Caenorhabditis elegans: one gene and its partners. The protein of the gene in region 1 purifies or fractionates together with the protein of each later gene. This does not show direct contact. Each region holds a gene or a part of one and is shown in the gene's direction. Other genes may lie near its edges.

Region 1 (5,479 bases):
CCGAAAATACTTGATTTTGGGTCATTTTCGCTGATTTTTTCAGTGTTTTTCATCAAAAATAGACCAAAAAAAGAGATTTTGCACAGAAAATAGCTCAAAAACTGTGCATTTCGGGATTTTTCATACGAAAAACGGAATTTCTCTAGTTATCATATCAAACTTTTTTGATTTTTGACACTTTCGAGTTGAAAAATAGGGAATTTTGGATTTTTCAGATCTAAAATCATATTTCTTCAAGCTTTCACAATGAAAACGGTTAAAAAACCACAAACTCTCGATTTTGGGAAATTTTTGAACGAAAACACTATAAATAAGTGATATATTGCGAATTTTGAATGTTAAACACAAAAAAAATCAGCAAAAATGACCTAAAACCAAAAAGTTTAGCAGAAAGACTGAGAAAATGCAAAAAATTAATTTCCAGTTGTCCACGAGAAGTACACGCTCGGCGCGCCGCAGGGTTGCAAATCTTCGCTCCGCCCATTTTTCTGTGCGGCATGCGTTTCTTGCAGGATTTTTGACCGAAAATTCTTTATTTTGGGTCATTTTCGCTGATCTTTTCAGTGTTTTTCATCAAAAATGGTGTTCTAAAGCAAAACTAAGCCAAAAAAACTGCAAAATCACACAAGTAGGACATTTCCAATGTACCTCAATGGCTAAATAAAGATCAATATAATTTTGACCGCCAGCTGATTTGAGAAATTCGCAGAACTGTGACAGAGCAATAGAATTCGTGAGAATAACGTGAAGTGGAAGCTGTACAAGTTGATCTCCATCTTCGCCAAATTTCGTGAGCAACGCGGAATCTTTGGATCCCAAGAAGTCGATTCGCCGCTGAACTAGATTTTCGACGAATTGTAGACTGGCTAGTTGTTGTTTAACGAAAGTATCCTGTTCTCCACCGGAATCCTTCCCTCTCATTACAATTTTTTCGTCAGCAATCGCTCGGAACACGGCTTCCAGCTCTTCGATGGATGTTGAACTCGTGAGACACGCCACAAAATCATCGGGTTTTGGTTCCACTTCACTGAGAAGCCAAACGATTAATTGAAATATTTCATTTGGATCGGAGAGGTAGTCCAGAGTAGGCAGAATCACTTTTCTTACTGAAAAAAAAAAATAATAACTAGATTTTTAAATGTTATTTTCGTTTTTTTATCCATTTTTCGCCAGCAAAGAGCGTTGCGAGACCTTCTATGTCCCTTTAAAAGTTGTGTAGATTTACGAGCACCGTGTACTATGCGAGGACAAGCGTTTTTTTCGGCAAAAATGTCTGAGATTTCCTATTTTCTGAAGAAAAATTGTGTGTTTCGATGGTTTTGTTGCTATTTTTTGAAAAATCGAAAAACTTTAAATTTTTGGATTTCAAAAAAGTTAACGAAAAATATTTTTTAGTTTTTTCCCCGATTTTTCGAAAAATAGCATTAAAATTTTTCGATTTTCAACAAAAAATCAATAAAAAATTATTTTTTCTATAATTTTTTTTATTATTTTAGGCAGAATTAAATTTAAAACGCAAAAAACCGTGAAATCCTGCTAGAAAATACGTTTTTCATGCTTGTCCACGAGTATACTCGTGGCTCGCAAATCTACACATCTTTTAAAGGGACATTGACTTTTTTTTCAGAAAAAAATTAAATTTTCCATCAAATTTCGGTCATTTTTTGTCTTTTTAGAAGAAAATTCGATTTAAAAATTGATTTTATTTTTTCAATTTTTCTCAATTTCCTGAATATCTTCCGACACTGACCAACAACTTCTCGAAGCAAGAATCTCAGCGGCCGACATCTAAAATCTTCCGGTGGCATTATTAAATAGAGAATTATATCGACAAGATCATGAAGATAGGCTGAAAAATCGGAAAAAATTGAATTTTTTCATCGAAAATCTCAATTTTTACCATTTTCATAATGCGGTGTAGTTGAAAGAAGATCTCTACACAACGATTTTTCCATTTCCAGCTCAAAATCAAAGAAATTGCTGAGCAATTCCGCTTCCAAATCTTCAGGGGATAATGTTTTATCTTTTTCCTTCGCTTGAAATGCAGTTCTTTCCTTAGCTTTCCGGAAAAGCCGTAAATGAGAAGCAAAATCGTCGACAACGTCACGCGTGAGCAATGGAACCCAATCAACCTGGCGGAGACTGGAAATTTGAGATTTTATTGATTTTTTTCCATTTTTTGTTTTATAAAATAAAATTTTATTAATGAGCTACACACCATTGTGTCAATGAGGCAATTGATCTTCGGGAGGTTCTCTTTAAGCTTTGTTCAAAAATATTATCATTTGAAAGTGTTTTATACCAAAAGCCGACGTAATCCCGTGTTATATTGCCGAGAATCTAAAAAAAAATATTTTTAATAACATTTCAGTCCACATAAATCCCTACTTGTTCTAAAACCAAATCTAATTGCGGTGAATTGCACATTGAATGCACCTCCACATATTGATTTTGCTCTTTGAGTCGTTTTCCATTTTTCAGCAGAGCCTCAATTCCCGCAGATAATTTTCCTTTTTGCAGATTTTCGGATAAAATTCCAGCGATTTCGTCATGTTTTTCGTGTCCCGTTTGATAGAAAATGTAGAGAAATCTGAAGGTATTCCAGTTTAAGGTTTTTCTAAAGAATTAAAGCTTACCCCGCTACGAAACAGAGGATACTGGCTGGAAGAACGATTAGACCGGTTGAACCGAATGTTGCTAGGAAAAGGACTACAGCAAGGAGAATATAAAGCCGATTTGACATTTTTCTAGAGAATTTTCCGATTTTTCTTCATATTTTACATAAAATTATGGAAATTCATCTGTAAAATCTGGTAAATAATTAAAAAATTCTATGCGCATTCCGTAAAACTAGTATCTCGGGGACAAGGGAACGTGAGATTTGAAATAGTTTCTGGCAGCTTTACAAATGAAAATTGCTGTATTTTTTTAGTATTTATAATTGATTAAGAATAATATAATAGTTTTCATTTAATTAAATATTTAAATTTGCATTTTACATAAATGCTAGTCTCCAATTTCGGCGTTCTTGCGTCTCCGGGAAGTTAACTTCATGAGGCCCTTCCCGCAAACGCGCCCCACTGCACACGCTGCGTGCTGCGTCGCGTGCCTTATTTTCGAATTTTATTCCCTTCATTTTTCATTTTGAGCTCTTCATTTTTCGTAATTTTTAGAAAGAAAAACCGTTTTATTTCTAGATTTTCTTCAAAATAAAGTTCTAAAACACATTTTTCTCATCTGGAAATCCATTTGTTGCCACATTTTTCTTGCAACGCGTGCAAATTCTAGAATTTTCCGAAAAAACTTCATTTTCGGGGTTTTATTCCTTTTTTGTCTATTATGCTCAGCATATTTCAAATGAGAACAAACTTTACCGTGAAAAGTGTGAAAATCTGAAATTTTAGGCGATTCTACTTCTTTTTTCTAACGTTTTCTCCCTTCAAGCCGAATCTACAGAATCAAAATTTTCAGAATGACTTCAGTTGGTGTCCCAATCAAGATTCTTCATGAGGCCGAAGGTCACATGGTCACGCTCGAAACCGTTACAGGTAATCATTTTCGAATTTCCCGTCGCTCAATAAATACTTTTCTATTCCAGGCGAAGTTTACCGAGGAAAACTTTCTGAAGCCGAAGACAACATGAACTGTCAGCTGGCTGAAACCGTTGTGACTTTCCGCGACGGAAGAAGTCATCAATTGGACAACGTTTTCATTCGCGGAAACAAGGTTTTTCACCATTTTTCTCTAAATTTCAGCTGTAAACCAATCAATTTCCAGATCCGATTCATGATTCTGCCGGATATGCTCAAAAACGCGCCAATGTTCAAAAATATCGGAAGAGCCCAGAAAGGAGCCATTGGAATGGGTTTGGGAGGTCTCGATCAGCGTGGAAGAGGACGTGGAACCGCTTTCCGTCGACCAATGGGCCGTGGAGGACCACGTGGAATGTCTCGCCCGGGAGGAGCTCCAACGTTCCGTGGATAAGCACAACACGGCGCAAATATAATCAATTCTCTGTATTTTTTCTCTCTCTCGAGTCCCCCATTCTTCCAGTTTCTCTTCTTTTCAAAGCGTGCGCAGACCGTTGAATTTGACGTGATCTCCTGCTTGTCCCGGCTCCGCACTTTGTTATTTGTTGAATCATACTTCATTTTTCATAAATTATTTTCCAGAAAAAAGACGACGACAAACTGGTTTCGGAGATTTCCCTGTAAGATTACCACAATTCCAAAGTGTGGTATTCGCCTAGAATATAACTGGCGAAATGGTAAATCATTCGCCAGTCGTCTTCTTTTTGTTCTCCTTATTCTTTTATTCGCATTTAAATGGAGCATTCGATGATGCAGAGCATTTTCCAAAAGGGATAGAGGATAGAGCCAAACTTTTGGCACGGGCAGACCAGTGTGTGCTAAAATATTTAGAGTTTACCGGCAAAGTGAGTAATTTTTCGCAAAAAATTGAGCGAAAAACTTGAAAATCCACGTTTTTTTTCGAGCCGCTCCGCTTGCTATTGCGTCGCGGTCGCGAATATTCTGTTATTTTTTTTATTTCTCTGTTCAGAAGCTTTCACATCTGCCGTACACTGTAAAACGATGTGCTCTCTCGGAATATTTCACTTGGGAAGAGTCTGGAACATTTTTTCCGTTTCAAAAATGCAATAATTTCGTGTTTTTCGGGGGAAATTCCCTCCAAATATTGAATAATACCGATTTTAAGATGCTCAATTGCAAATATTTGATTATCGATTCGAGGGAGAACCTCCGTGGAGTTTGTAGTTTATAGTCGAAGAAATGAACTTTTAAATTCTGAAATTTTCAGCTTGAAAATTATAAAAAAGTAGATGATCTTTCAAAATCACAACTAAACAATGCTCTGCTTCAATTTAAAGAAGAAAATGTAAGCTGAAAATACAAATTTAATTTAAAAATATTTTTGAAATCGAGGTGCAATCGCCCCCAACGCGAAAAGGTCTCGTTTTGGCGGGGAAACTGGGGATTCAAATATTTTGCGACCTTTTTTAGTCTTTTTTTTGTTGCTCTGACCGTTTTTTTAAATTATTTTTCTGCTAAAAATGTAATTTTTTCTGAAAATCGTCAAGAACAACTGAAAAAACGTAAAAATGTTTAAAAAAAACATGTGAAAACGTTTGAATGTCTAATTTTTGCCGCCAATACCCAACGAGATTCCGTGGAGCGCGATTGCACCAACCTTAATTTCGAAAAGGGCATGTTTTCCAGGTAATAGAGCATATTTTCATCTTTGAAATGAAAGAAATTGAAAATTATTTGGATAACCTTCTGAAAATTAGAAAAATATATTCCCTTATTGTATGCCAAATTACGATTCGTGTACCGACGTTTGTCGGGGAAGATGTGATTTGGCAATTTGCAGAGAATATTTTAAGAGATGATTATTATATTTTGTTGAAAATCACCAAAGAAGCAAGTTATATAGAGTAAGTTTGAATTTTCAAAAAAAA
Region 2 (4,839 bases), on another chromosome or scaffold:
AGATGAATCATTGGGTATTTCGCCTCGAAATCCTCATTTATCACTTGTTTCGCCCTCTCCGCCGATTCACAATGAAGTGTGCTTGCCACGCAACACTCGTGACGGATTACAGTCCGTTTTCCGATTCCCAACTCGGAAAATGCGATCGGATCGTACTCATCGATGACTTCTGATGATGGTTCATCTGATCGGCTGGCGTCTAAATCGCATTTTTCATCGATTGAAGTTCCACGTTCATAGCTTGAATCTCGATTTACGGCTTGTGGAACTTCGATGGTTTCCGCAAACATTTCCTCCGAGGTTTCGCCGTTTCGGAAGCTTTCCTGTAAAAATTTTCGATTTTTTATCAACTTTTCACCTAAAATTCACATTTTAAGACTCAAAATCTGCTCAAGTGAACGAAAAATTCCGAAAAAAAGGTTTATTTTAGTGAAAATCTTCAATTTTGCCAGTTTTTAAGTTTCATAAATCCATTATTACAGACCTTAACGGTGGAGTAGCGCCAGTGGGGAAATAGCTTTAAAACACGCCTATGGTACCACAATGACCGAATATCATGATAAAAAATTCAGAAAAATGTTCTAAATTTTATATGATTTTTTGAAAATTGAAAAAATCTCAGTTTTCCCCTAATTCCTATTTGAATTACCGCCATTTGGATTTGTTCGATGGAGCGCGCTTGCACGTTTTTAAATTAATTTATTTTATTTTTTGTTATTTTCCACCGATTTTTAATGTTTTCGGTGTATTTTTGGTGGAATTTTAGAGAAAAAGTCAAAATAAATGCAAATTTTTGATTAAAAAGCAAACAGGCGTAAAAATCAAAAAGTAACGCTTTTAAACGATTTCGAACCTGAATTAATTGATTTCACTGATTTACGCCTGTAAGAGTGCTTTTTAATTGAAAATTTGCAATCATTTTGACTTTTTCTCTAATATTCGAGCAAAAATACACCGAAAACATTAAAAATCGGTGGAAAATAACAAAAAATAAAATAAATAAATTTAAAAACGTGCAAGCGCGCTCAATCGAACAAATCCAATTGGCGGAAATTCGAATAGGAATTAGGCAAAAACTGAGATTTTTTCAATTTTCAAAAAATCATGTAAAATTTAGAACATTTTTCAAAAATTTTTTATCATGATATTCGGCCATTGTGGCCCCATAGGCATGTTTTAAAGCAATTTCCTCACTGGCGCTACTCCATCTTTAAACAGTACGAAAATCAACGATATAAAGTGAAATAAACGAGCAAAATTTGCAAAAATACGAATTTTCGCCTGCTACGACACGAAAAACTCGGTAAAATTGAAGATTTTAGCTAAAATTCGCCTTTTTTCCGCGGATTTTGAATCTTAAAATTCAAAATTCAAAGCCTCACCCTCCGCTCTTTCCTGGAAATCGAGGCGGGCGACTTGTCGAACAGCGTGAAAAACGGCGAAGGATTCCGCTTTCGGCGAATCTGCCCCAGAATTACTTGATCTTCAGCGTCTCGGAAGACAAATGGCCGCAGCTCTTCTGTTGATAAGTGAGCCTGATGCCGCATGCGATCCGAGCTGGAAAATTGGATTATAAGGTGAAATTATGGGAATTTATCGTATTTTTTCAAGATTTTGACCTAAAGGCGCACGGATTTTTAGCAAATTGCAGCGTTTTTTCTTACTTTCTGCTGAAAATTTGCGTTGTTTTCCTTTTTTTCGGTCTGAAAACTGAAAAATTTAACAAAAAAAACTACCACATGCTGTCTTTTCGCGTCGATGCACAGCTGAATAAACCCATGTGCCTTTAAGATCGCATAGCCGAAATTTCTGAATTCCTGCGCTTTTTTTGTGAAATTTTGTTAGATAATTGCCAGTTTTCGGGGAAAATTAGGTAGAAGATATAAATTATAGAGGAGATGTTAATTCTAAACCTTCCAAAAATCGATTTCGATCGGAATTTCTTCTTATTGACGGTTGTGTTGGCGAAAATCGGCGCCAGCGGATCCACGTAGTCGCTGTTCGGCGAGATATACGAGAAAACTGCCAGAGGCTGGCCATTCGTCGAGGTGCAGATGTAAAATCTGAAAATGTGGGTTAGTTCGCAACACGGAACGGTTAGTGTGGGGGATTTTAGAGGATTTTATGATGGTTGAACTCACCTATCTGCATGGGTAATGGTGCTTTTGAGCCTTCTCAGAAAACTGAACTGATTTGAAGAACAAGATGGTGATTCTGAGCGAAATTCTGTGAAAATTTTGAATTAATTTATTTTATTTCAAGTTTTGTAAGCTTTTATAAGCTCGCCAGCTCACCAATCAGCCCACTATCTTCTCTCCCGACGCCTTCTTCAAGAATCGGAGATCTACTGTTTGTGGCGGTCATTGAATAGATCACGTCGTCGGAGCTCATGATTTTCGCGATTCTTCGGAAGATTGAAGTTCTATAAATAGAGAAAATTAATTAATTATATTGATTTTCAACTAATTTTCACTTTTTCTGTGGTGTCTCCGCGTATTCCTGCGGCAAATTCGACGAGCTTAGCCGTTCTCCGAGTGAAGCGGATGTTCCGAGTGAGATCACTGATTCATTGTTGCGGATGGTGGTTGTGGAGCTTGCGCCGTTTGAAAACTTCTTTTCCGTTGGAGATATCTGAAAAAATTATCAATTAGTTACGAAAATCGCTGAAAAACCAAGATTCTCACCTTCGGAAGGCCTTTTGTTTGGAAAATTCGAAGATTTGTGTCATTGTGGCTTCCATCAACACTGATATTTGATAAGAAATTTTGTGCGACGAGAATATGATAGTTACTCTTCTTTTTTACCATCTAAAATTGGAAAAACGAAAAGAAAAAGCTCGGAAATCCGATAAGAATTGTGTGAGTACGGTGTGCAAGCGTCTGCAACTTGTCGTCATTTATGGTGTACCAAGCGTGGTGTTTGCGTACTATTCGAATTTCGAAAAATAATTTCGTCGATTTTAGCCTTTTTCATCCAATTTTCCTGATAATTATCATGTTTATTCTTTGAAAAATTAGTTAAAAAATGTTATAATTAATGTATTATCTGAATTTTCGATAGGTGGAAGTTGAAAAATGAGCTTTATTTTCTATTTTAAGTAAAATCTGTTTCTTTGATGATTTTTCCATTCTTCATTTTCATTTCCCCCTGCAAATTCTCAATTTTTCAGAAAAATGAGTAAGACACATCCACCAGAGCTCAAAAAGTACATGGACAAGGAGATGGACTTGAAGCTCAACGGAAACCGTCGCGTCTCTGGAATCCTCCGCGGTTTCGATCCATTCATGAACATGGTCATCGACGTATGTTTCTTTTTCCGTTTTTGTCTAATTTATTCTAAAATTTAATATTGCAGGAAGCTGTCGAGTACCAAAAGGACGGAGGATCCGTCAACCTCGGCATGACTGTCATTCGCGGAAACTCCGTCGTCATCATGGAGCCCAAGGAGAGAATCTCCTAGATTTTTCGATCTCCACAATTTCCTGTCACTTTCTCAATGTTTTCATTTTCAAATTTTGATATTAAATTTTTGAACCTTTTTTTTGATAATTTTTGATAACTACGTGGTCAAAACCCACTTCTCATCTCTGATTCACGTGAATTTCGTATAGATAAGAACTTCGCAAATAGAATCAATTCACAAACAAATGTACCAAAAGTTATGTTTTATTATTGCAGGCATAAAAAAAATCAATCGTAAAGCTTTTTTTCAGCATTTTGTTTTTCCACGGCTCAAATTGAACGAAATAGTGTTCATTTTGAAGAGAGGCACGAAACAGAGTAACAAAAACACGGAGAGACTTGTGTATCCCTCTTCTCTTTCCACTATGTGCGGTCGACGACGCTCTCCACATTTTTCTCTCTTTATTCTTCTCGTTACTCTTACTCGGCACAACAGCAGCAAAAAAGAATACTCTTTCCCCACTTCTTATCTCTTTTTCTGCCGACCTATTTTCTTCTTTCAAAACAGAAAAATGTTCCACACACACGCCTATCATCATCCGAAAGCTGTACGAGATGTGCTTTCTCATCTTTCCGTACTCTTGTGGCTGCAGCCGTCGAAGAGTTGAAATATCAATTTTCAAAACGCGGCAGATTCTCAGCCGGAATTCAGTGAATTCGCTTGATTTCTCGCCAAAATATAGAAATCAGACGATTTATCTGAAAATAACACCCATTTCAGTTGAAACATGCGAGAAAATGCTGAAAAATAGCCTGAATTTGCTAATTTCAGGCCATTTTTGAGCTCTTCCTCAAGTGTTTCGACTGAAATAAATGTTTGTTTTAGATAAATCAAGTGATTTTCTATAATTTCACATCAATTTTAAATGAATCAACATGTCACAATAGGTCATTTTGAAAAATTGGCGCCAATCCCCAAACCTGATCTGGATTTGAACAAGAGTTTTCTACTTCGATTTCACATTTTGCTGAGAAAAACCGAAAATTATCGATGTTCTCTTTTGAAAATTGAACGCTTTTCAGTGATAATTAGGAAAAATCACCTTTTTTCAAGTCGAATAATTTCAAAAGCTTCAGAAAATCCAATGTTTTGACTCGAATTCAGGAAAAACCGGAAGAAAATCGCGAAATAATATAAAATCCGAATAAAAAAAACGCGATTTTTTTCAATTTTGGCTGAATTCTCCACACTCCAACTGATTGATCGTTCATTTTTTAAAGGAATTTAGCCAAAATTGCAAAATCCCGATTTTAAAAATAAAAAATTAATTCTGTTATGATTCCGCGTTTTTTATTTTGTAATAATTCCCATTTACGCCGTCTTTTAAAAATGCAGACCCACAATTTTTCTGGTGAACATTTCAAATCAATTCAAAT
Region 3 (7,102 bases), on another chromosome or scaffold:
GAGTAAGGGCGTAGTTGGGGAAGGCTTCTGTGCGACCTAGAAAAGAGAAATTGTTTGCAATTCTCATAATGTAAAAACAACAGCAAGTGGAAAACTACTCACCAACTCCGACAGCAGCAAGATCACGATCGTACACATGTCTTGAAATAGCCTCGCGGACAGCTCCAGCGTCAACCTTTTGAATTTGAGCTTCAAGTTCTGACAACTGTCTGAGATTTCCGGTGTAAAGAAGCTGAAAATAATGAAATAACTATCCATAGCATTTTCTGCAGAGTAACAAACCTCCTTAGCGTTAAATCCAGCCTTTTGTGTGTTGGTCTCGAGGTTCTGGTACAAGTTGGTTCTGAATTGGTTCTTGGCCATGGCGACTTCTTCTTCTGTGGCAGCAGAGGCCAAATGCTTCCATTCGTGAGCAACAGACTTCATGATTCCGCTGGTGTCGTTCAAGTCGTGAGCATCAGCAACAAAGTAGATTCCGAACAATCCAGTGTCTCTGAAAAAAAGAAAATAAAAATTTAAATAAGCTTGCAAAAAAAGATACTTACTTGTAGTTGATGTTGAAATGCTGGAGGTTATGGACTCCGTGGTCGTGTCCGATTTTTTGGACAAGTCTGGAAGCAGCTGTTCTGGATGTAGCGTGGGTCACATCCCATTGGCCTAAAACTCATCAAAATTACGGTTTGAATTGAAAAATTCACACAAAAGCCAACTTACCAATGAATTGATTGGCAATTTGAAGAGCGAGAGCATCTTTGTGGGCATATCCAACACCCTAAAAATGAAGTAAAATGAAAGACTGAACACACATTTATTATTTGTACCTCAACAGCGAAAGCAGCATACATGTGTGGGACATTATCGTTGCGGTATCTGTATTCAGATCCGGTGAATCGTGTTCCATCGACCTGTGGAACCTTTCGTGGGTATTCGTTGCTCAAGTCTCCGAAATATTTATCGGCGAGGCTTGAAACATTGGAAACTCCTCCTCCGACAGCGGACAGAACCATGCGCACTGGTCTGTAATGATCCTCTTGCCACTCCTTCAATTGTTGAGCAGAGATATTCTGAAAAAATAATCAACTTTATGTAAACCCAAATAAATACTTACTGGAATGCTCTCACTGGTTCCGAGAACGCTGAGAGCGAGTGGGGTGCCTTGGAATCCGGCAGCGTGGAGCATATCGAAGAGGACAAGCTGATGATAGTCATCGGAAGCTTCGAGCTCTTTGAGAAGATTAACTCTTTCGGTATCGATGGTTGAGGCCTCAAGCTTGCTGTTGCGGAGAACATCGGCGAGGATATCGACAACTGAAAATTTTGGAAAATTAACACAATTTTATAAGTTACAAATATTTACCTTTCTCAACATCTTGAGCTCCAGCTTGGACAAAAACTGCGGTTTGGTCACGCTCAGTGAACGAGTTGAGTTTTGCTCCGATAGCATTAAGCTCGGATTCGAGAGCAGCAGATGCTCTCTTTCCAGTTCCCTTGTGGATCAATCGCTCGAGGAAATGTGCGACACCGTTGTTCTTCTCGTTCTCAAAACGAGATCCGGTCTCGATCCAGACTCCCACCTACAATTTAAAACAAAAGAAATTTTAGAAAACTAGTGGGCAAAATTACGGTAGCGGTGGCGGATCCATTATCTTCGGTGACAACACGGAAGCCATTCTTCAAGGTGGTAACTTCAGCTTGTGGAGCGCTGGCAAGCACGTCCTTCACGGAGACAGCTGATGAAGCATTGCGAACCTGAAAATTAATTAATTTAATTAGATTTTCTACATTATCATCGTTGTTACGTTCTCCATGCGACCTGTGGGCATACAACTTTCAATTTTATTTTCAATTAAGAGTTTTTATTTCTCTTTTAGCAATCTCACAAGAAAATTACCTGGCTATTGAGAGCCGGACGCAAAGCAGAGCTGACGGCGAGTCTGAGAGCCATTCTCTCAAGTTTTCCCCTGTTCTCTGAAAATAAAAATATATAAATAGGATATTAATCGATAGATAAAAATTCAGAGAACATTATTTTAAATTGAAAAACTTGAAAAAATATATCTGAAACTCGAAAAGAAGCTGAAAACAACTAAAACCATCAAGCCGCCCAGCAGTGCAGAGACGCAGACAGCGGAATCGCTTCGAGACCCACCGAAAGTTTAAAGGCGCACCCGTAAATCGCTCCATACTTATTCCGAATATATTCTGCGAAATTCTGTCTTTTGTTCCCAATATCTCTATATTTGCTGATTTTCTCCTTTTTCAACTAGTTTTCTTAATTTGTCATACATTTAATCCATTTATCCTGCGCGTAGCTTTTCGAAATACCTAATATTTTCGTATAACGCTTTATAAAGCCACTTGAAACTCTAATTTTCCTATTGAAGGAGAAACTTGCGATGTCTTCGAGACACCGATTGGATTTAGATGGCAGCGGACGCGGAGACAGAAGAAGGTAAGTAAAATTGTTGCTTCCCCAGTTCAATATAATAATAATAATTTATTTTCAGATCTCCTAACCGCAGATCCCGATCCCGCTCCCGATCGCCACACAGACGCTCCTCCCCCGACCGGAAAAGACAGATTGGGGCAGTTGGAAATATGAAGGTATTTTTTAGTAAACGAATTTTTGTTTCTCATCTCCAAATTTACAGATCCAAATCAATCCATACAACAACCAGCCATTTAGTAACCGATATTGGGCAATTTGGGAGAAAAGAAGTCAATTGCCAGTATGGGAATATAAGGAAAAGTTTATGGAGCTGCTCCGGAACAACCAGTGCATCACTCTTGTCGGAGAAACGGGATCCGGAAAGACCACGCAAATCCCACAGTGGGCCGTCGAGTTCATGAAGCAGCAGCAACAAGGACAACCACCCGGTCAAGCGAGATTGGTGGCTTGCACACAGCCTAGACGGGTCGCTGCGATGAGCGTTGCGACAAGAGTTGCTGAGGAAATGGACGTAGTTTTGGGACAAGAAGTGGGATACAGTATTCGTTTCGAAGACTGCATCAGCGAACGAACTGTTCTCAAATACTGTACAGACGGTATGTTGCTGCGAGAAGCAATGAACAGCCCGCTCCTCGATAAGTACAAAGTCCTTATTCTCGACGAGGCTCACGAAAGAACACTCGCCACAGATATTCTTATGGGACTGATCAAGGAAATCGTGAGAAATCGAGCTGATATCAAGGTCGTAATCATGTCCGCTACATTGGATGCAGGAAAGTTTCAAAGATATTTCGAGGATTGCCCGTTGCTCAGTGTTCCCGGAAGAACATTCCCTGTTGAGATCTTCTTCACTCCAAATGCGGAGAAAGATTATCTAGAAGCCGCGATCAGAACTGTAATCCAAATTCATATGGTCGAGGAGGTTGAAGGTGACATTTTACTGTTCCTCACTGGTCAAGAAGAGATCGAAGAAGCTTGCAAAAGAATAGATCGTGAGATTCAAGCCTTGGGAGCAGATGCTGGAGCACTCAGCTGCATTCCGTTGTACTCTACACTTCCCCCAGCAGCACAGCAGAGAATCTTCGAACCAGCACCACCAAATCGACCGAATGGAGCAATCAGCAGAAAGTGTGTCATCTCTACAAATATCGCTGAGACATCATTGACTATTGATGGCGTTGTCTTTGTTATCGATCCTGGATTCTCGAAGCAAAAAGTGTACAATCCAAGAATTCGTGTCGAGTCGCTGCTTGTTTGTCCCATTTCGAAAGCTTCTGCTATGCAAAGAGCTGGACGCGCCGGAAGAACAAAGCCAGGAAAATGTTTCCGGCTTTACACCGAAACGGCTTACGGATCAGAAATGCAAGATCAAACATATCCTGAAATTCTTCGGTCGAATCTCGGATCTGTTGTGCTGCAGCTCAAGAAGCTCGGAACCGAAGATCTTGTGCACTTCGATTTCATGGATCCTCCCGCACCAGAGACATTGATGAGAGCGCTGGAACTGTTAAACTATCTTCAGGCGATCAACGACGATGGAGAGCTCACTGAACTAGGAAGTCTGATGGCTGAGTTCCCGCTTGATCCTCAGCTCGCAAAGATGCTTATCACATCCACTGAACTCAATTGCTCAAATGAAATTTTGTCGATCACAGCAATGCTCTCGGTTCCGCAGTGCTGGGTTCGTCCCAATGAAATGAGAACAGAAGCCGATGAGGCGAAGGCTCGGTTTGCACATATTGATGGAGATCATCTCACACTTCTCAATGTCTATCATTCGTTCAAGCAGAGTAAGTTGACTTTGTTTTTCTTTTTTTCAAATATTAGTTTCGCATATTTCAGATCAAGAAGATCCGCAGTGGTGTTACGATAACTTCATCAACTACAGAACTATGAAAACTGCCGACACAGTCCGCACACAATTGTCGCGTGTTATGGACAAGTACAATCTTCGACGTGTCTCAACAGACTTCAAATCTCGAGACTATTATCTCAACATCAGGAAAGCTCTTGTAGCTGGATTTTTCATGCAAGTCGCTCATCTGGAACGAAGTGGACACTACGTGACGGTGAAAGATAATCAGCTCGTCAACCTTCATCCATCCACAGTTCTCGATCATAAGCCGGAGTGGGCACTCTACAATGAGTTCGTGTTAACCACAAAGAACTTCATCAGAACTGTAACTGATGTGCGCCCTGAATGGTGAGTTAATTTGCAAATTATATTATTCAAAACCTAACTAGATATGCGTTTCAGGCTACTTCAAATCGCCCCTCAATACTATGATCTCGACAACTTCCCAGATGGAGACACGAAACGGAAGCTGACTACTGTGATGCAGACCCTGCAGAGAAACGCTGGCAGAGGCTATTGATGCCTCCGAATCATCTGATCTCATTTCCCCAAACCTCTTTTATCCCTATTGCCCCTTGTCAAATTTTTTGATTGTTTCTATTTATTTTTTGTTTATTTCTTACCCCTTTCTTTTAATTCTATTTTCACTTTTAAATCAATCACCAAATCTAAAAGGATGAACTATTCATTTTATTTGACAATTAATCCGTAAATTTAGAGAAAACCGTAAAGTTATGTTAATTAAAGAAAAGCTCGTCAAAATGTCCTTCTTGCTCTAACCAATCCTCCGCATCAATATCTTCGTCGGATTCAGGATACTCGACGGTCTCATCACTGTCATAGTCACTACCGTCGTTAAATGCCATATCGAAAAGAAGATCGTCATCGTTATCTAGCAAATCGTGATGAACTCCTTCGAACAGACGTCCAGAGCATGATCCCTGAAAATGAAAAATACATTTCTTACACAATTCTAAGAAAAAACCAACATCTCCCTGAAAATGCTTATAAGGATCTTCCTTGTCAAGAGTTTCAGAGCACAACCAACAGAAGTAGGTGTCACACTTCGTACAGTGCATCTTGTGGCATCCTTCATTCTTCTCTATGCTCACCGAGCACTTGGGACACGGTTTGCTGTTCGAATCCAGCCATTCCTCATTGAGGAACCGCTCCACAAGCTCCTCGACACGCTTCTCTCCTCCAAATTGCCTGCACATTTCAGCCTTCTCAGCTTCATCTCCATCCTTCCATCTTTTGACAAGAAGCTCTTTGTCTCCTTTCTTCCATTTGCAGCGTTCTATTCCGTGGAATGTCTGCTTACACAGATTGCAGAACGAAAAGTTACAGTAGGAGCATTCGGCCAGGAAGCGTTGTCTGAAATGTTCTTCTTTTTTACATTTATTTTTATATTTTAAACTATACCTATCCGTGACGTAGGCGACTTTTTGACAATTCTCTCTGGGACACTCCACGGTGTCTTCCATCTCTCGAATCGCCTTCTCCAGCATAATCGTCTCGTATCTGGCGGAAATTCAAATTTGGATTTTTTTTTTTGGAAATGTATCTCACTTTGCATATAAATCATCTCCGAGTGCCTCCTTAACCGTATTTTGTTGTGCTTCACTCTTGCATCCTTCTGCTAGACACTGCATGGCTTTTGACTGTAAATGATCCAATTTTTCCAAAAAAAAAATCGATTGGATCTTACCACAACACCTTTCGATATTGTACGATAATAATCGAAAGTACATTGTTTGCAGAAAACGTGAGAGCACGGCTGGAATTTGATGCAATGTTGGCCCATTTGAGAGTCGTAGCATACCTGGAAGATTGAAAAAATAGTATAATTTTATAACTACGAAAAAATTACTTCACAATCGAAAAGTGTATTGACAAAGTGCTCTTCAGCAGCTTCTTCGCCTTTTCCAAGAATTTTCTTTTTCAGCGATTCAATAGTTTCTCCATTGTTTTTCAGCGCACACGCCTCGTTCAGATTGATGATTTTTAGGTGAGATTGGTCTATCTGAAACTTATTTTTATATATTTAATTTGTTAAAAAGAACAAAAAACTAACCGAATCAATTATCGTTTGATAGCACATAAAAAGCACCTCCATCATCTGGTTTTCCTCGCAAATCCTTGCCAACTCGGTTTCACAAGATGTCATTTGTTCCTGATTCATCCAATAACTTTCCAGTTCAAGTTTTGGTGATGATACTGAGGGATAATCATTTGGAAGATGAAATTTCAATCGGATTGGTGGAAGAATGTCTAGGGGGATGGAAAAATGATCGCTGGAGTCAGACGTTCCTTCAATTGTGACTTTTGGATCGGATAATGTGTCAAATCCTACCTGAAATCAAGAAAAAATTTAATAATAAACTTCTTTATACGCTCAATATTCTACTTCAATTATTCCCCGAATTTCTGCATTTTTATCCGCCCAATCACTGATTCTCGTCAATTTATTCTCCCTTAGCACACTCTCCAGTGCTTCTAGCTCGAATAACTGAGTTTCACGGCTGTCGTCTGACATCTGAAATTTAGTAGAAATTATTTTAACACAAACTAGAACAAGAAAAACTGGTATCGCGTTCAAAATGTTTAGAAATCTAGACTTTTTTAAAAGGGCAAAAAAACCGCTGAAAAAACATGCACCAAACGCGCTCCATCTGACAGAAACAAAGCGTGGATGTTCAAATTCCACTTTTTATTGGAAAGATACGAGTTTTCTAATATATTAGCGCAGAAAATCCCATATATTTATTATTTAAATAACACTGATAAACAATTGATAT
Region 4 (6,667 bases), on another chromosome or scaffold:
CATTTAGCTCATCTGGAGCCACCTAATGAGTTTAAAACTTCAAATTTTTGATTTTTCCGGGCGGAATTCCGGTAATTATTCACTTCGTAAAAGTTTTCTCGTTAAATTTGTCGAAATTTTAATTGAAATTTTTTTTTTCTTCGATTTTTCATGATTTGCTATCACATTTCTGCTTTTTATCAACCAATTTCAGCTTGTTTTGAGTTAATTCCTCACGAAATAGATTAATTTTTTAAAGGCGCATGCATTTTCCCACTGCCGATATCCCGTTGCGCACGAGTGTTTGCCTCTCGTGTACTTCTCTCGGACAATTGGCGGGACTTTCGAAATTCATTTTTTGAGGTTTTTCTATTGGATTTTTAGTGTTTTCCGGCAGTTTGTTGAATAATTTAGCTCAAAAATGTTCTAAATTGTGAGATTTATTCGTTTTTAAAGTATAAATTGTGTGACAAGGACCATTGCATCGCTGGGAAGAGCAATAGTTAACTATTTCGCTGGAATTCTAGTAATCGGACGATTCTGTGGACTTATTGAGAGGTTTTTGATATTTTCTTATTGAAGCGTGTTCCTATGCTGAATATTTAGCTGATTTTGCTGCAAAAACAAGTTTTTCGGCCATATGCAAACTGATTCTCGAAAAAAAATCCCAGTTCTCTTAATTTTTCCCATTAATTCTCCTCATTTACGCTTCCAACTCCTACATTTTTGCCTTAAAAGCTTTCCATCTTATTAGCTAGCCAAATGAAGCGAGAATAAACAATTTCTAGCTCTTCTCTCATCTCCAACCATCTGCGTCTCCGCTCTCTTCCCATTTTCGAAAATGTCTTGCTTTGGAGCAGATGGACCGTTGTCAAGGCATTTTTTATCGCTTTTTTTCGTTTTCCCGTGTTTTCAATCGATTTCTCGTTCTCATTTATTCAAAAACAATATTTTCAGCTTAAAATGGAACCGACAGCCGCCGAGAACAACAACAATGTGTGGCTATTCTACCCGAATCTCATCGGTTATGGACGCATAGTACTCGCCATTTTGGCCATGTACTACATGTCGTCAGCGCCATGGTGTGCAATGTTCTGGTGAGTTTTGGCGAGCTGGAAATCGATTTTTGCATCAAAAATTAGCTAATATCCATGTTTACTACTACTTTTCATCTCTTTTTCACTGAAATGTCGAGTATTTTTGCGATGCATGGTAAAGAAATCAAGGTGACCAGGTTTCTTTTCAATTTTCCCCCATAATTGAAGAGTTACAATGCCATCTGACAAGGTTTTTCAGAAGAAAAGTCCTGAAAATTAGATTTTCGTAATTAAAATTTCTCATAATTTCAGCTATGCACTCAGCGCCGGACTCGACGCGTTTGACGGATGGGCGGCACGGACCTACAATCAATCGAGCCGATTTGGAGCAATGCTCGATCAGCTCACCGATCGGTACGTTAAAATTTCTCAAATATGCTGGAAAATTCGAGAAAAAAATTGGATTCGGTAAAATTCTCATATTTTCAGCTGCGCCCTGCTGGCCTTGGTGATGGCGCTCTGCAAGTTCTACCCGGATCACTTGTTCCTGCTTCAACTGTCGGCCGTAATCGACATCGCATCTCACTGGCTTCACCTTCACGCCACTGATCTCTCCGGTGCCACGAGCCACAAGCAGTCTTCGAATTGGCTTCTGAACCTCTACTACACGGATCGATTGTTCCTCGGATTCATGTGCGGCGGAAATGAGGCTTTCTACATTTTGCTCTACATTCGCGCGTTCTGGGCTGGTAAATATTTGATTTATTTTTGCTATAATTTATTAATTCCTCTAATTTTCAGGACCACTGATCTTCAACTTCCACTTCATGTCGATCTTCCCACTCATCGCCTTCCCGATTGCCTTCGTCAAGTCCGCCATCTCCGTCGTCCATCTGTACACTGCCGCCGAGATGGTCGTTGCTCACGATGTGAAGCTCCGTGTTGAGGCTGCTCAGAAGGCCCAATGATCTCCGGATCTCCCCGAAGTCTCCAAGATTCTCCTCTGATTCCCCATGAGCTTTTGTATACACATTCCCCACTACTTAATTCACGAGCTTTACGCTTAGCTTTAGTCCTTTAGTGCTCTCGTCTCAGGAAAATGTTTCCGATTTCCATTTAATTCCAAATTTGAACATATTTCTCTGTAATTTTTTTCCCCGTAATTTTTTTTTTCGCAAATTCCCGATGTACTTACTCTGTAAAATAATATTTATTTTGTTTATTTTATTTTCCATTTATTATTCAATTCGAATTGGTTTTCAGCCAGCCGATTTTATCTATTTTCTCTCAATTTTTATTTCTTGTTTTGATTTTTTTAACCTTAATCCCACGATTTTTGCAGGATATTCGACTATCCCGAGTTGACTACAAACTACAATGGCCGACGAGCTAGCCCGAATCCAGCAGTATGAGTACCGGCAGAACTCCAACTTGGTTCTGTCGGTCGACTACAATCTGACGGATCGGCGTGGCAGAGAGGAGCCGACTGGCGAGGTGCTGCCGATCACGGATAAGGAGATGCGCAAAATGAAGATGGGTGACCGGGCGATCAAGGGAAAAGCGCCGGTGCAGGATCAGAAGAAGAAGAGAAAGAAGAAGGACGACGAGAAAGCACAACAGTTCGGCCGGAATGTCCTTGTCGACAATAATGAGCTCATGGGAGCCTACAAGCCCAGAACCCAGGAGACGAAGCAGACTTATGAAGTGATTTTGTCTTTCATTTTGGACGCACTTGGCGATGTTCCACGCGAGGTTCTGTGCGGAGCCGCTGACGAGGTGCTTCTCACGCTGAAAAACGACAAATTCCGAGATAAAGGTGAGGTGAAAATCGAAGATTTTCAATAAAATTTATATTTTTTTTTCAGAGAAGAAGAAAGAAGTGGAAGCTCTTCTGGGACCGCTCACCGACGATCGTATCGCAGTTCTCATCAACTTATCGAAGAAGATCAGCGATTTTTCGATCGAAGAGGAGAATAAGCCTGAAGGCGATGGAGACATCTACGAGAATGAGGGTGTAAATGTGCAGTTCGACTCGGATGAGGAAGAAGATGACGGTGGGATGGTTAATGAGATCAAAGGTGATAGTGAGGAGGAGAGTGAAGAGGAAGAAGGTGTGGATACAGATTACACGGCAACACTCAAAGGAGATGGTCATTTGACGGAAGATGAGCAAAAAGCACGAGGAATTCTTCATCCACGTGACATCGACGCTCATTGGATCCAAAGATCGCTCGCCAAGTACTTCAAAGATCCTCTGATCGCCCAACAGAAGCAAACGGAAGTCATCGGAATTCTCAAGAACGCCGCCGACGATCGTGACGCCGAGAATCAGCTTGTCCTGCTGTTAGGCTTCGATCAGTTCGAGTTCATCAAGTGCCTTCGCCAGAATCGTCTTATGATCCTCTACTGTACACTTTTGCGTCAGGCGAACGAGAAGGAGCGTCTCCAAATCGAAGATGATATGCGATCTCGTCCAGAGCTTCATCCGATTCTTGCACTTCTTCAGGAGACTGATGAGGGATCTGTTGTGCAGGTGGAAAAGTCGAAACGAGACGCGGAGAAGTCGAAGAAGGCCGCCACAGCAGCAAATGAAGCCATCAGTGCGGGACAGTGGCAGGCGGGCCGCAAGATGTTGGATCTAAACGATCTCACGTTCAGTCAAGGATCTCATTTGATGAGCAATAAAAGGTAAATACAATTTTATTTTAAAAGTACGATTTTCCATTAGAAAATTAAGGAAATTTGATTCATTATGCACTTTAAAAGTCCACATTCCCAAAAAACCCTAAAATTCTCAATTTTGCAGATGCGAGCTCCCCGACGGATCCTACCGCCGCCAGAAAAAGTCCTACGAAGAAATCCACGTACCAGCCCTCAAACCACGACCATTTGCTGAAGGAGAGAAGCTCGTCAGTGTCTCAGAGCTCCCGAAATGGGCCCAACCGGCTTTCGACGGCTACAAGTCGCTGAACAGGATCCAATCCCGACTCTGTGATTCAGCTCTTCGATCCAAAGAGCATCTCTTGCTCTGTGCTCCAACTGGAGCTGGAAAGACGAACGTGGCGCTGCTCACGATGCTCCAAGAAATCGGAAACCACTTGGCAGAGGATGGAAGTGTGAAGCTCGATGAGTTCAAGATTGTCTACATTGCTCCGATGAAGTCACTGGTTCAAGAGATGGTTGGAAGCTTCTCAAAACGTCTTGCTCCATTCGGAATCACTGTCGGCGAAATGACCGGAGATGCTCAAATGAGCAAAGAGCAGTTCATGGCGACACAAGTGATCGTTTGTACGCCGGAAAAGTATGATGTGGTGACGCGAAAAGGCGGAGAGAGAGCCTATAACCAGATGGTTCGGCTGTTGATCATTGATGAGATCCATCTGCTTCACGATGATCGTGGACCGGTGTTGGAGTCGATCGTCGTCAGAACGATTCGTCAAATGGAGCAGAATCACGATGAGTGCCGACTGGTCGGACTTTCAGCAACTCTTCCGAATTATCAAGATGTGGCGACGTTCTTGCGAGTGAAGCCTGAGCATTTGCACTTCTTTGATAACAGCTATCGTCCAGTTCCCCTCGAGCAACAATATATTGGAGTTACTGAGAAGAAGGCTTTGAAGAGGTTCCAGGCGATGAACGAAGTGGTGTACGACAAGATTATGGAGCACGCCGGAAAGAGCCAAGTCCTCGTTTTTGTGCATTCCCGAAAGGAAACTGCGAAAACCGCGAAAGCGATTCGTGACGCGTGCCTCGAGAAGGACACGCTGTCGGCGTTCATGCGTGAGGGCTCAGCGAGCACAGAAATCCTGAGAACCGAGGCCGAGCAGGCGAAGAATTTGGATTTGAAGGACCTCTTGCCGTATGGATTCGCTATTCATCACGCTGGAATGAACAGAGTTGATCGTACACTCGTCGAGGATTTGTTCGCTGATCGGCATATTCAGGTAGGGGAATCGAAAATTTCCCGAAAATATTTCAAATCTTCAAAATATTATTTTTCAGGTGCTCTTTTCGACTGCAACTCTCGCTTGGGGAGTCAATCTGCCGGCTCATACTGTAATCATCAAGGGAACTCAGATCTATAACCCGGAAAAAGGACGTTGGACAGAGCTCGGAGCACTCGACATCATGCAAATGCTCGGAAGAGCCGGACGTCCACAGTACGATGATCGCGGAGAGGGAATTCTCATCACAAATCACTCGGAGCTCCAGTATTATCTCTCGCTGATGAATCAACAGCTTCCTGTCGAGTCGCAGATGGTCTCACGGCTCACTGATATGCTCAACGCTGAGGTTGTGCTCGGCACTGTCAGTAGTGTGTCGGAGGCGACGAATTGGTTGGGTTACACTTTCCTTTTTGTGAGAATGTTGAAGAATCCGACGCTTTATGGAATTACACATGAGCAAGCGGTAGGTTAAGCTTGAAATTTTAGCATTTTTCATAGAAAACCCTAAAATTCTCCAATTTTCAGCGCGCCGATCCTCTTCTAGAACAACGTCGTGCCGATCTCATCCACACAGCTTGCGTGCTTCTGGACAAGGCCGGACTCATCAAATATGACAAGCGAAGCGGAATCATTCAGGCCACCGAGCTCGGGCGCATCGCTTCTCACTTCTACTGCACATACGAGTCGATGCAAACCTACAACAAGCTGCTGGTCGAGACGTGCTCGGATATCGATCTCTTCAGAATTTTCTCGATGAGCTCCGAATTCAAGTTGCTGTCGGTTCGCGATGAGGAGAAGCTGGAACTTCAGAAGATGGCAGAGCACGCGCCGATTCCGATCAAGGAGAACCTGGATGAAGCGTCGGCGAAGACGAATGTCCTTCTTCAAGCCTATATCTCACAGTTGAAGCTCGAAGGATTCGCGCTTCAGGCGGATATGGTCTTCGTGGCTCAGAGTGCCGGACGACTCTTCAGAGCTCTTTTCGAGATTGTGCTATGGAGAGGTTGGGCTGGGCTCGCTCAGAAGGTGCTCACTCTTTGCAAGATGGTTACACAACGGCAATGGGGATCGTTGAACCCGCTGCATCAGTTCAAGAAGATCCCGAGCGAGGTGGTTCGATCGATTGACAAGAAGAACTACTCGTTCGATAGACTGTATGACTTGGATCAACACCAGCTGGGAGATTTGATTAAGATGCCGAAGATGGGAAAGCCGCTCTTCAAGTTCATTCGCCAGTTTCCGAAGCTTGAGATGACTACTCTCATCCAGCCGATCACAAGAACCACCATGAGAATCGAGCTGACAATTACGCCAGACTTCAAGTGGGATGAGAAGGTGCACGGAAGCGCCGAAGGTTTCTGGATCTTCATTGAGGATACCGATGGCGAGAAGATCCTTCATCACGAGTTCTTCCTGCTCAAGCAAAAGTTCTGCTCGGATGAGCATGTTGTGAAGATGATTGTGCCGATGTTCGATCCGATGCCACCACTCTACTACGTTCGGATCGTGTCGGATCGATGGATCGGCGCGGAGACGGTGTTGCCAATCTCGTTCCGTCATTTGATTCTGCCTGAGAAGTACCCTCCACCGACAGAGTTGCTCGATCTGCAGCCGTTGCCAATTTCTGCAGTTACGAATAAGGAATTTCAGACAGTTTTTGCTGAAAGTGGATTCAAGGTGTTCAATCCGATTCAGACACAGGTA

Evidence for each region.
Region 2: the proteins of snr-1 (region 1) and snr-7 fractionate together in Caenorhabditis elegans (co-fractionation; one large-scale study listed by BioGRID). This does not show direct contact.
Region 3: the proteins of snr-1 (region 1) and ddx-15 fractionate together in Caenorhabditis elegans (co-fractionation; one large-scale study listed by BioGRID). This does not show direct contact.
Region 4: the proteins of snr-1 (region 1) and snrp-200 fractionate together in Caenorhabditis elegans (co-fractionation; one large-scale study listed by BioGRID). This does not show direct contact.

What each region holds. Positions count from the first base shown.
Region 1 is NC_003282.8:17,084,587-17,090,065, forward strand, and holds snr-1 (Small nuclear ribonucleoprotein Sm D3), read left to right. Parts: upstream 1-3,462; 5' UTR 3,463-3,472; coding exon 3,473-3,548; intron 3,549-3,598; coding exon 3,599-3,726; intron 3,727-3,777; coding exon 3,778-3,984; 3' UTR 3,985-4,264; downstream 4,265-5,479. Other genes in the region: snx-13 (Sorting nexin-13), read right to left, coding at 649-1,106, 1,751-1,849, 1,901-2,142, 2,219-2,340, 2,389-2,590, 2,637-2,743; Y116A8C.43 (Lipoprotein), read left to right, coding at 4,265-4,435, 4,561-4,767, 4,819-4,896, 5,238-5,455. UniProt on the Caenorhabditis elegans protein: Plays a role in pre-mRNA splicing as a core component of the spliceosomal U1, U2, U4 and U5 small nuclear ribonucleoproteins (snRNPs), the building blocks of the spliceosome.
Region 2 is NC_003279.8:2,723,845-2,728,683, forward strand, and holds snr-7 (putative small nuclear ribonucleoprotein G), read left to right. Parts: upstream 1-3,169; 5' UTR 3,170-3,173; coding exon 3,174-3,302; intron 3,303-3,355; coding exon 3,356-3,460; 3' UTR 3,461-3,538; downstream 3,539-4,839. Other genes in the region: Y71F9B.6 (Cyclin N-terminal domain-containing protein), read right to left, coding at 1-323, 1,383-1,557, 1,914-2,063, 2,142-2,226, 2,295-2,422, 2,474-2,631, 2,685-2,807. UniProt on the Caenorhabditis elegans protein: Plays a role in pre-mRNA splicing as a core component of the spliceosomal U1, U2, U4 and U5 small nuclear ribonucleoproteins (snRNPs), the building blocks of the spliceosome.
Region 3 is NC_003281.10:5,587,001-5,594,102, reverse strand, and holds ddx-15 (Pre-mRNA-splicing factor ATP-dependent RNA helicase ddx-15), read left to right. Parts: upstream 1-2,384; 5' UTR 2,385-2,396; coding exon 2,397-2,452; intron 2,453-2,507; coding exon 2,508-2,604; intron 2,605-2,651; coding exon 2,652-4,239; intron 4,240-4,291; coding exon 4,292-4,652; intron 4,653-4,693; coding exon of another isoform or gene 4,694-4,694; exon of another isoform or gene 4,695-4,706; coding exon 4,707-4,824; 3' UTR 4,825-5,041; downstream 5,042-7,102. Other genes in the region: ucr-1 (Cytochrome b-c1 complex subunit 1, mitochondrial), read right to left, coding at 1-36, 103-232, 283-493, 546-663, 715-772, 822-1,064, 1,109-1,308, 1,358-1,574 and 2 more; F56D2.2 (RBR-type E3 ubiquitin transferase), read right to left, coding at 5,042-5,245, 5,294-5,678, 5,727-5,825, 5,874-5,965, 6,013-6,126, 6,175-6,327, 6,379-6,657, 6,712-6,840. UniProt on the Caenorhabditis elegans protein: Pre-mRNA processing factor involved in disassembly of spliceosomes after the release of mature mRNA.
Region 4 is NC_003280.10:12,732,602-12,739,268, reverse strand, and holds the start of snrp-200 (U5 small nuclear ribonucleoprotein 200 kDa helicase), read left to right. Parts: upstream 1-2,358; 5' UTR 2,359-2,393; coding exon 2,394-2,832; intron 2,833-2,881; coding exon 2,882-3,704; intron 3,705-3,822; coding exon 3,823-4,960; intron 4,961-5,018; coding exon 5,019-5,426; intron 5,427-5,488; coding exon 5,489-6,664; intron 6,665-6,667. Other genes in the region: pisy-1 (CDP-diacylglycerol--inositol 3-phosphatidyltransferase), read left to right, coding at 943-1,076, 1,329-1,430, 1,506-1,765, 1,818-1,984. UniProt on the Caenorhabditis elegans protein: Catalyzes the ATP-dependent unwinding of U4/U6 RNA duplices, an essential step in the assembly of a catalytically active spliceosome. Plays a role in pre-mRNA splicing.